Danio rerio: one gene and its partner. The protein of the gene in region 2 purifies or fractionates together with the protein of the main gene of each other region. This does not show direct contact. Links are inferred from orthologs where the notes say so. Each region holds a gene or a part of one and is shown on either strand. Other genes may lie near its edges.

The links.
Region 1: the proteins of mrtfab (region 2) and srfa purify together in Homo sapiens (affinity purification with western blotting; 4 studies listed by BioGRID and IntAct, with this or other methods). This does not show direct contact. The link is inferred for Danio rerio from reciprocal best matches to the Homo sapiens genes MRTFA and SRF.

Annotation. Positions count from the first base shown.
Region 1 is NC_133197.1:37,094,784-37,100,469, forward strand, and holds the start of srfa (serum response factor a), read left to right. Parts: upstream 1-2,341; 5' UTR 2,342-2,664; coding exon 2,665-3,114; intron 3,115-5,686. UniProt on the Homo sapiens protein: SRF is a transcription factor that binds to the serum response element (SRE), a short sequence of dyad symmetry located 300 bp to the 5' of the site of transcription initiation of some genes (such as FOS).
Region 2 is NC_133187.1:20,434,569-20,439,615, forward strand, and holds the end of mrtfab (myocardin related transcription factor Ab), read left to right. Parts: intron 1-12; coding exon 13-111; intron 112-1,383; coding exon 1,384-1,518; intron 1,519-1,645; coding exon 1,646-1,732; intron 1,733-1,838; coding exon 1,839-1,899; intron 1,900-2,652; coding exon 2,653-3,206; 3' UTR 3,207-3,683; downstream 3,684-5,047. UniProt on the Homo sapiens protein: Transcription coactivator that associates with the serum response factor (SRF) transcription factor to control expression of genes regulating the cytoskeleton during development, morphogenesis and cell migration.

The DNA.
Region 1 (5,686 bases), on a different chromosome or scaffold from region 2:
GTACTATGCCACCTCACATACACTACCCTCGCTCCAACTGTATTTTAAGTGGAACGTTTCAGTATTGACTTGTCCCAAGCTCTAATACTGATTATATCAAAAAATAGTTTTGGTTAAAGGGTTTGCTAATGTAATATCTAAAATTGATCACATATTCATCACAGCAGAAATTACACTGAAATTAGGTAATAAAGGGGACGACACTGTGGCGCAGTGGGTATGTCACCTCACAGCAAGGATGTTGCTGGTTTGAGCCCCAGCTTGGCCAGTTGACATTTCTGTGTGGAGTTTGCATGTTCTCCCAGTGTTTGCGTGGGCTACAGTCCAAAGTTCCCACAGCCCAAGCACATGCGCTATAGGTGAATTGAATAAACTAAATTGGTCGTAGTGTATGTATGTGCAGGGGAGAGTGTATGAGTGTTTACAAGTGCTGGGTTGCGGCTGAAAGCGCATCCACTGTGTAATAATATATGCTGGGTAAGTAGGCTGTGGCGACCTCTGATTAATAAAGGGGCTAAGCCGAAAAGTAAATGAATGGATGAAAATGACAAAGAGGTGACTTGTCCAATTTAACACAGTACTCAATTTCAGGTTTGGTTTTACTATGAGTGATTGTGACTGGGTTCGAACCAAAGACATTTGAGAAACATCGCTTTTTCAGTTTAGTATTGGATTAAAATCATTTTATTAACTCATCCCAATTCAAAATATTTAAAACATAGCTATTATAAGGGCAGCGTTGTTAGTTGTTCTCTGTTTAACGCTTTAAATGCCCCACCATGAAAAAATTGGAATTTCATTTAAGTCCTAATGTCGCTAGTTAACATACTCAATGCATTTTTTTTCAACACATCCCATAATTTCTAAAATATCCACCTCAACCAAATTGTTTATATGTCGATTTATGGTTAAAATACCAAAATTATTACATATACTATAAAAAATCTGAAAATATGAAGTGTAAAGCCAATCTATATTTAAAAAAAATGTATGTATATATATATATATATATATATATATATATATATATATATATATATATATATATATATATATATATATATATATAAACTAAATCATCTTTATTTTTTGAAGTATACCATAAAGTATTTCAGATTCTCATTTAACATGTTTTGTTGTTGTTTTACTATAAAACCAAAATCAAGTGTAGTAGTGCAACAGGATTATTTGTTTGATTTTTTTGTAAACCTACAATGCTGTGTGTGTAAACCATCATTTAAAACAGTCAAACTGTAAATTAGTTTAACAGTCATTATTTAAAACAGTTAAATTATGGTCAACTATTTGGTAAAGCAGGCAGTTAAAGAGTTAAGGAGTTTATTATTTGTATATCTATCATGGAAGAAATTACACGCAAGTAATTATTTTTATTTGTAAGTTGATCAGTGGAAAGAAATGCCAAAATAGTTTGTTGTGAGGTTGGATAGCTTACAAAGGTGTTTGAGAAACATATTTGAGCACTATGTTACCTCAAATACATATTACTTGAGTATAACTTGTTTAAATGTACTTTTTAAACTTCTAAAACGGCGATTCTTTAGCAACAACATTGAGCCTTTTCTACATTTAAAAGGTTTGCTAATACGTTTATTTTATTTATTACATTATTTTTATTTGTAAGTGTGATATGGATGAAAAAGCCAAACGACTTAATGTTATATCTCCCAATATATAACGTAACAGCTTCATCTGCTGGTAAAACGGAGTAGCGCATCATTTGCACAGCTCCCACAGAGCTGAATTTGACGAGTTTGCCCTAAATTTAAATTAAGCGGTCACGCTGTCAACTTATATTAGGTTTTAAAACTCAATCAAGTACATTTGATTTACCTTTTCTCATATTTCTCCTCAAAAACGCGGCGTTTTGTCGTTATATATTACTATTCAGTTCTGAGGTAAAACACATTTGCTAGCTAGTTCGTTGTGTATGACGTAAATCATTTGTGTCAGCCAAATGACACATGAGCCAATCGCAGGGTCGGAGAGGTTTGCGTAACCAATCGCAGCGCAGCACTGTGACTCACCATACATGGACAGCCATCACCATATAAGGAAACATCGACTCGCTTTATATGGAGGAAAGTAGATCTATAGACGAACGTCTCGTGAGTTAAATTCTCAAAATAAGCAATATTTTACTAATTATTTTCCCCAGAAAACGTTAAACTTAATATTTGACCAAAATAGTGCTTTTTATGAGCTAATAACGTATTATCTAAAACAATACCGACCTTTAAGCAGAGAACTATTTTTAAAGGCGGAGCTGCATTGCGCGGTCGCGATTCGTCGTTTCCAAATGTGGCAAGCGCAGCGTAAGTTCAGTCGAGGTTTGATTGATGGACTGTAGGCGGAAACTATATGTTGTAAACTTTGTACGGTGGTCGTAAAGGGCTAGTTTTGCAGGTTTATTTCTGTCGTTTACGAGACCCTCAAATCCTGACTTTCATACTGAAACAAATCCATCCGTAACCAGAAATAGCGCTTGCCTGCTTTAAGTTGTCCGCTGAGTTGAGCTAATGTTTCTTAGCCTAGCATATGTGAGGTAAGTTCGGTTTTGGGTCTGGATTTGATCTGGGATCTGCTGCACAGATCGCTAACTTTACACCCACCGCAGACCGCCGTAGTGCCGCTTGCAGGTCAGCGATGTTAGGGGGCAACGGGACGGCCAGAGGGGCTGGACGCTCTGGTAATGGCACGGGATTGACACCTCTACAGGTGGGCAGCACATCTGGGGCTCTGGGGGCTGTAAACTCTGTCATAAACCTGCCCGATGGGGGCAGATACGACGACGGGCCGTCGGTCGAGGCTGTGCTGAGCGGCTCCGATGGAGACTCAGACTCCGGGGACGATGAAGAGAGCCCTGTGCCGGACAGGAGAGGGGTGAAGCGGGAGAGGAGCGAGCTGGAGGTCGGGGGATCTTCTGGATCTAACGCCGCACTCTCGGCAGGATACGGAGGGGTCTCCAGCGGGGTGGCCGGAGCGAAGCCCGGCAAGAAAACGCGAGGACGGGTGAAAATTAAGATGGAGTTTATTGACAACAAGCTGAGGAGATACACGACCTTCAGCAAGAGAAAGACTGGCATCATGAAGAAGGTATGTTCATGTGTCTTCTGCTGTTAGTCTGGAACTGATTGTACCACTGCTGTTCTACTGCTGTACTGATGCTAGTTTTACACCAGTGCTAAACATCTATGCTAATATTAGCACTACAACTACTAGTAGTGCCATGCCAATACGTTCTTCAGTAACTGGTACTCTAGTAAACTTTAGTATTTACCTCATTGTGCTTTGTTTAATTCTGTATAAATAATAGTACCACTAACATTACTATATTCAGGATTCCCACTGGTCATGGAATTGTAAAAGCTCTATCCCACATCCTGTAAGTCAGGGAATTGTATACATTTTTTGGTAACACTTTAGGTTATTACATATTTATAATTATGACATTGGTTGTTTTTTAGTAGTTATAAAGTATCGTTTTATTCAACATCCTTAAACCTACCAATACCTAAACCATAGCTCTCAAACTCAATTCCTGGAGGGCCACAGCTCTCAGTTTTGCTTCAACCGTAATCAAACACAACTTATTCAACTAATCAAGGTATTACTACTAGTAGAGACTATTAAGTAGGTGAGCTAGAGATGGTTGGAGCTAAACTGTGCAGAGCTGGGGCCCTCCAGGAATTGGGTTTGAGACCTCTGACCTAAAGCCAACTTCTTACTAACAGTTAATTAGCAGCAAATTAGTACCTTAGTGAGAAAAAAGTCTTAGTTAATGGTTTGTTTATAACAATAATTGTACCTTAAAATAAAGTGTAACCATTTTTATTGGCCCAAGTCATTGAATAACAGGGATTGTTGTTGTATTTCTTATTTCTTTACATTTATAATTTGTTTTTCAAAGTCAAATTATATTCTTCTCCCGCTTGTCAGCTGGCATAAGTCCTAGGGTGCTATCACACCTGCCTTATTTAGTTCGGTTGAATCGCACTAGAGTTCGTTTTCCCTCTTGGTGCGGTTCGTTTGGGCAGGTGTGAATCTAACAATCGTACTCGAGTGCGCACCAAAAGCGGACTAAAAAAGCATAGCAAGACCCCTTAGAGGAGGTGATCTCGGTACGCTTACAAACATGGCAAATTAATTCTTAGTATTATAAATATTTATTATTGTCTGCCACATAATAAAAAGTTTGAACAATAACACACTTACAGGTAAAAAAAAGATAAATAAAACATCAACGTTTTAATTAAAATGTAATTTTAAAAGTTTTTACTTGAATAATTCAGCGATTCCTCCGCGTACCACTAGAAGGAAGTCCGCGTACCACTTGAAGGAAGCCAGTGCATTGATAATGACCAAAAACACATTGAATGAGCAATTTTACCCAATAAATGCATCAATAATATCCACTGATTTTTAGATATTCAATTAAGTGAACTTAAACGATTAGAATGGCAACAAATATTTAGTTGAACCCAAACTACAAAAAAAAAACATTTAAAATAATTTTAAACTAGTTTTAAACTAGTGGGGTTTTGAAATCAATTAATGCAAATAATCGAAATAACTGTAAAGCCGTGATTATTTCTAAGACTATAAGCGTACAACCAAAATTTATAATCGTTGCATCCCTATTTTCAACTGGTTCAGATTAAAGCAATCAATTTGGTGTGAAAACGGCCCAAAAACGGCAGAAAATGCTACAATGTGTCATTTGTTGCCCTTGGTCCGGACCAAATGACCGAACTACAGATGTAAAACCACCCTTATGCACATAAGTCAAAATGCAATCCCCAGGCTTTACCTGTTAAATACTGTCTATATTTTGTGTCTGCCCAGTGCTCAACCCAACAGAAGGTATAATAAACCTTAAAGACGTCACAGAAATCAAGCATTTTGCTATTTAGTCAGTAAAATTTACATATTTTGACATTTGGTTTAGACTGGGAGCCCTGTATATGATACTAAATCTATAGAAATAGTTCCACTTGATTGATCCTAGAGCTACAGTAGAGATGCTAGCTTAGATAGTTTAAATTAATACATATTCTAACACTTCACAAAAACTCTACCACTAAATGTAAAAATACTTCATTTAAAACATTAATAATATTAGTGTCAATGGTTTGAACTCATGAAACTGATTCTATTATTGTAAAATAACAGTGTAAATTACAACATTGATGTTAATTCTATTGAAGTAGTAGTATCACTAGATTATATTGTAAAATTTCAGATACTAACTCTTTTTAAGTACCAGTATTTGCTTAAAATCATACTGCTGAGAAATACCTTTCTTAAATCTCAAAATCAAAGTTGTAGGCTTTAAAAAGTCTCAAATTTACTGAAATATTGTGTTGTAGGTCTTAAATCTTTTTTTAAACAGGTCTTAATTTTCATTTGTTCATGTATTGCTATCCAATCTGGCCAAAACCCATAAAATCACCAACAATCCATCTCAACTTTAAACTTTTTTTTTATTATTATTTAAAAGTTAATTTTTAACTCTGTTTATCATAATGGTTTAATTATTTTCCTTGTAATAACATTTGTTTAGAAGTGGTCCATGTATTTACTGTTGAGGACACTGACCTGGACAGGTTGTTGTGCATAGATTAGGTTTGTTATAGTTTTTAAAACTTTTAAAACATTTGTTCATTTT
Region 2 (5,047 bases):
TATTTGTTTCAGAGATTGCAGTCGACCCCTATCAAGCTCCCTAGCCAATCATCTACTGATATGACAACTTCTGCCAATCATTCACAAGCTGTCCGAGAGCCCATCACCAAGGTATGTTGAAATGACTTGTGAATGTGCTTTTTTAAACATGTCGAAGATCTGAAAAATTGCATATTCATCAGCTCTGTTATTTAAATGGTCATTAAAGGGGCATGAAACACTGAGATGCTTAACAGATACTGAATGCAGTGTAAAAATGATGAAACACAATGACATGCACACTTTAGCCAGAGCAGAAGTTATGCAATTGAGAAGTTTACATACATGGTTGTTTTGATTAAATTTGGTGAATGTGACAATATCATTTAATTTGTTTATGTTTTTACACTCATGTACTTTTTATGATGCTTTTGACATAAGGTTTAATTCAAAATTCCCACTATAACCGCATTAAGTTGAACATTTAAGTTTTACCATTTTTTTTATTCATTTAGCTGATCCTGGGTCTGGCAAAAGCACTTTTAGCTTAGTGTAGCATAAATCATTGTATTAAATTAGACAATTTGCAACTCGGTTAATAAAAAAAAAAAAAAAGTTTTTCTGGGATTTTAATGTTTAAAGCTTGACTATTCTGTAGTTAGGTCGCGTACGAAGACTGACAGAATAATGAAGAGTTGCTATTTTCTAGGTCAATATGACATGGAACTATTCTCTCATTCTGGCTTAATAATAAACAAGGAACTCTGCAGCTGTGTCATAGTTACAGCATGTTCAATGATATTACAAATGATGTTACTTTACTCTCATTTTGAAATTTGCAAATGCTAATGGTCTAATCTGATTTAATTATTTATGCTAAGCTAAACTGAAAGTGCTCTATCTGAATGGATTAAAAAAGGGTAAAACTCAACTACAAAACATTAGGGGACTGATGAAAATGAGCCTGTTTTCAAAATAAAGTGGAGTGTTGCTTTAGGAGTGAATGTAAATATAGTACACATGCATTTACGGTGTATACGTATTTACAGTATTATTTTTTAAGCATCTTGTTTAAAGTTAGCATTAAGTGAAAGCTGCATGGATTTGAATTGCTCAGTGTATACCTGATTTGCACGTCACTAAAAGTATTGGTGTGGTTTAAAATTAAAAAGGTATTGGATGTTAATCCTTTTCCTAGAGATGGGTTGCAGCTGGAAGGGCATCCGCTTGTGCTAGTTAATTTGGCACTTTATTCCGCTGTGGCGACCCCGGATTAATAAAGGGACTAAGCCGAAAAGAAAATGAATGAATGAATGAATTGATGTTAACTGGGCAACGTCAATTCATTGAATGAAACTTCTGAAACATTCATTTACTCATGTTAAAATCTGTTTGCCGGTTCAGAAAGCAGGGCTCCACGTAGAAACCTCCAGTGTTCAGGAGAGCAGTCAGCCTGTGTCTGCTCCACCAAGCTTCGAGCCCTTCTTCTGTGAGGAATCAAACCCACTGAACAAACCCACCTCTCCTCCTTCATTTAAGGTATTTCACATGAGTTCATTCCCACACCTCATTTTCCTTTTGCCTTTCACCCTCCTCGCTTTGTTTTAAGCTAAAGCTAGCATTTCTTTTTCCATTTTTCTCAACTCATTATCCGCATCTATTTTAGGAGGACATTTGCCCAACATTTGACCGACATACTTTATTTACCCCTTCCTCTCCAAAGCCGAACCCTCAACCCCCTCAGTGCCTCAAAGTATGGCCTTTACTTGTGCTCATTCTTTCTTTCGCCTTTATTCTTTCACCTTCTGCTTCTGTTTTTCTTTTATTATTGTGTCATTAATTATATTCTCTGTTTTTAGGATAATGTCTCTAACAACCAGCAAATAGATGATCTGTTTGAAATTCTGATGAAGAGTGGAGGTAAAAAAGTCCTTTTTTAAATAAATAAGTTTACTATGTAATTGTAAGATTTAGATAAGTTTTTTAAGCTGGAAGAAAAGAGAACAAAACTTAGGATGATTTTATTTAGATTAGATGCATTTAAGGGACATATCACCCAAAACTGAAAATTCATTTACTCTCCCTTGTTTAAGAACTATTTAACTTTTTTTCTGTTTAATTCCAATCAAATCCTTATAAAAATCCGGAAACCTGTAACCTTTGACTTCCACAGTATTTAAGTCGGTGATTTCAGATTTTCAGCTATCTTCAAAATATCTTTAACAGAAAATAGAAACTCATAAAGCTTTAGGACCTCTTAAAGTTGAGTAAATGATTACTTTTTTTGTGAATTGTCTCTTTAAATTGATTAAAAATCAGTTGTTTCTGAGCAAATACTTTTCTTTTCTACATTTTACAATATAATATAATATAAGATATTAAAAACAAAACCATTGTGGAACTCTAATAAGTACAAATAGGTAAAACCTACTGTTTTACTATTGGTAAAAATATGTTTTTGAAGCTGTCCTTTATTAATAAAGTATTTTACACTCATCATATGAGTCGTGATATTTTATATACACAATAAGTACTTACTTTTTATGTACGTATAAAAGATTCTAGTATATTGTTACATAGATGTTTAATATGTTTATACACTGTTTACATCTGTAAATCATGGTAAAAAATGTACGATATAATATATATAACCTCTCTTTTTTCCCACCTCAGAAATTTCATCTGGATTTAAGGCCAGTCAAGACCCCTCCCTTTCTGACCTCCACTCCAACCCGCCCTCTCCATCCCCTCCTCCATCTCCCCTCCACCTCTCTCCACCAGCACATCACCCTGAACCCATGCCCGTCCCATCCCAGCAGCTCCTGGACACTCAAAACAGGCCCTGCTCCTCCACCGGCCGCCTCGAGGACTTTCTAGAGAGCACAACCGGCGCTCCTCTCCTCGGTGTGGAGCCGGATAGCCCGTTAACCCTAATCGATGACCTACACAGTCAAATGCTGAGCACTTCCAGTATTCTGGACCACCCGCCATCCCCAATGGACACCAGTGACCTGAGCTTCTCGTCCCATCCGGCCAGCCTGGACTTCGAAGACCCTGCTCTGGATGGAATGGATTGGCTGGGCATACCCGTGGTCACAGGGGGCAGTAATTGTAATGGCGGGGGTCTGGTCCTCGCCCCTCTGAGCTCACACACCCCACCCAGTGTCTTTTCAGCAGACTTTTTGGACAGTCCAGATCTGCAGCTCCACTGGGACTCCTGTTTGTAGCTTCTGGTCTTAATTCGCTCAACGACACACACAATTTAGCACATTCAACCTTACTGTGTATTAAGCAGTACACAAAACACTCCAGACGCACACGCTGTTAATTATGCTTCACGTTTTCTTTCCTTCATATTCCGAAGCCGAATGGTATTTAAACAGTTCCTGCGTCTGATAGCACTGACTTTTAAGCTCTCGTTCACTGCACTCAAATAACCACATGATGGCGCTGTTTCTTTTGTAACAGACCAATCAGGACCCTGAAAACAGCTCAAAGAATCCCTTCTTTGGTCTAAATATCAGATGAGTTGTCTATGCTGGTTAGTTAGTACAATCTTTAAAGCACCATATAGTGTTACGTCTGCCCATGGTAATAAAGCTATGACCTCATAAACATTATATATGAGGCCATTTCTGCTCCACAAGTTGTTACATGCAAGCTAATTGGCAAAAAGATACAGGATATCATAAACCTCCTTGAAACCCGTTAGTTCTTCCAACATTGCACTTAAGCCGACCCGACTGGTGCTCTGGTCAACACGACCCAATGTAATGGGCTCTGCAGGGAACCAGGTTTGGTGACGTTCACCAGATCTCTATGCATTGCTGTAGTTAGGATCATGTATTGATGAAACCTTTGTTCTTTTTGCTCTGATTCTAGCGATTCGCTGGTGGAGGTCAGTGCTGGGGTTTCAGGTTTCAGAGTATTTGGAACTTCTTGTTTTTTAAAAAAAGAAAAAAAATGAAAGGAAAAACTGCTGTGTGGCGTGTGGTCTCTTGTTTGCATCTGCACTTGTGTATTTAGAATACATTCACACACATGGTTATTTATGTAGTCGAACTTTGAGGCAAATCAGTATTTTGATTTTTTTCAGATTTTTATATAAACTACCTGACAAAAGTATCGTCACCTATCCAGGTTTTAGGAACAACAAATATTGACTTGACTTCTGGTTGATCAATTGGTCTTCCAAGATTCTTTGGATTCATCTTCAATGCCGCCTCCAACTTACCCCAGAGATGCTCAGTAATGTTGTTTGTTTGTTTGCTTGCTTGCTTGCTTGCTTTGTTTATAGAGCACATTTAAAAGCAACAGATGTTGACCAAAGTGCTTTACAAAAAGACCAGCATACAAAATTTATACCTATATATAAAAATAAGCAAAACCTATAAAACAGATTAAAATTATTTAATTACAATCAAAAGGCAAGAGACAGAAGGTGATTTTTTTAGATGAGACTTAAAAGCACCAAGTGAAGAACATGACCTGACATGTAAAGGCAGACCATTCCACAGTCGGGGGGCTGCAGCAGAAAAAGCCCTGTCACCTCTTGATTTCAACCATGTTTTGGGGACAACTAGCTGAAACTTGTTTTTTTTTACCTGATTGACCTAAATGAAGTGTGCCAGTGAAAAAGCTCAGAGATGTAAATAGGTGCCAGACCATTCAAACTTTTAAAAACAAGTAGAAATAACTTGTATTGAATCCTAAATTGGACTGGGAGCCAGTGAAGAGATGATAAAACTGGTAAGATACTAGATTTTTTTTTTGTCCCAGTTAAAATCCTAGCTGCTGCATTTTGAACCAGCTGCAGGTGTGCAATTGATGCCTACGAAACTCCTCAATACAAAGAGTTACGATATTCAAATCTGGACATAATAAAAACATTAATTATGGTTTCCAGCTCTTTAGAAGACAGAAAAGGCTTCAATTAGGCAATGTTCCTGAATTGATAGAAACCACTTTTGACGACTTAATTTATTTGCTTGTCGATCTTTAACTCAGTGTCAAAAGTAACTCCAAGATTTTTTGTGTGACTGTGGACCTTGCTTGATCGAACCTCATT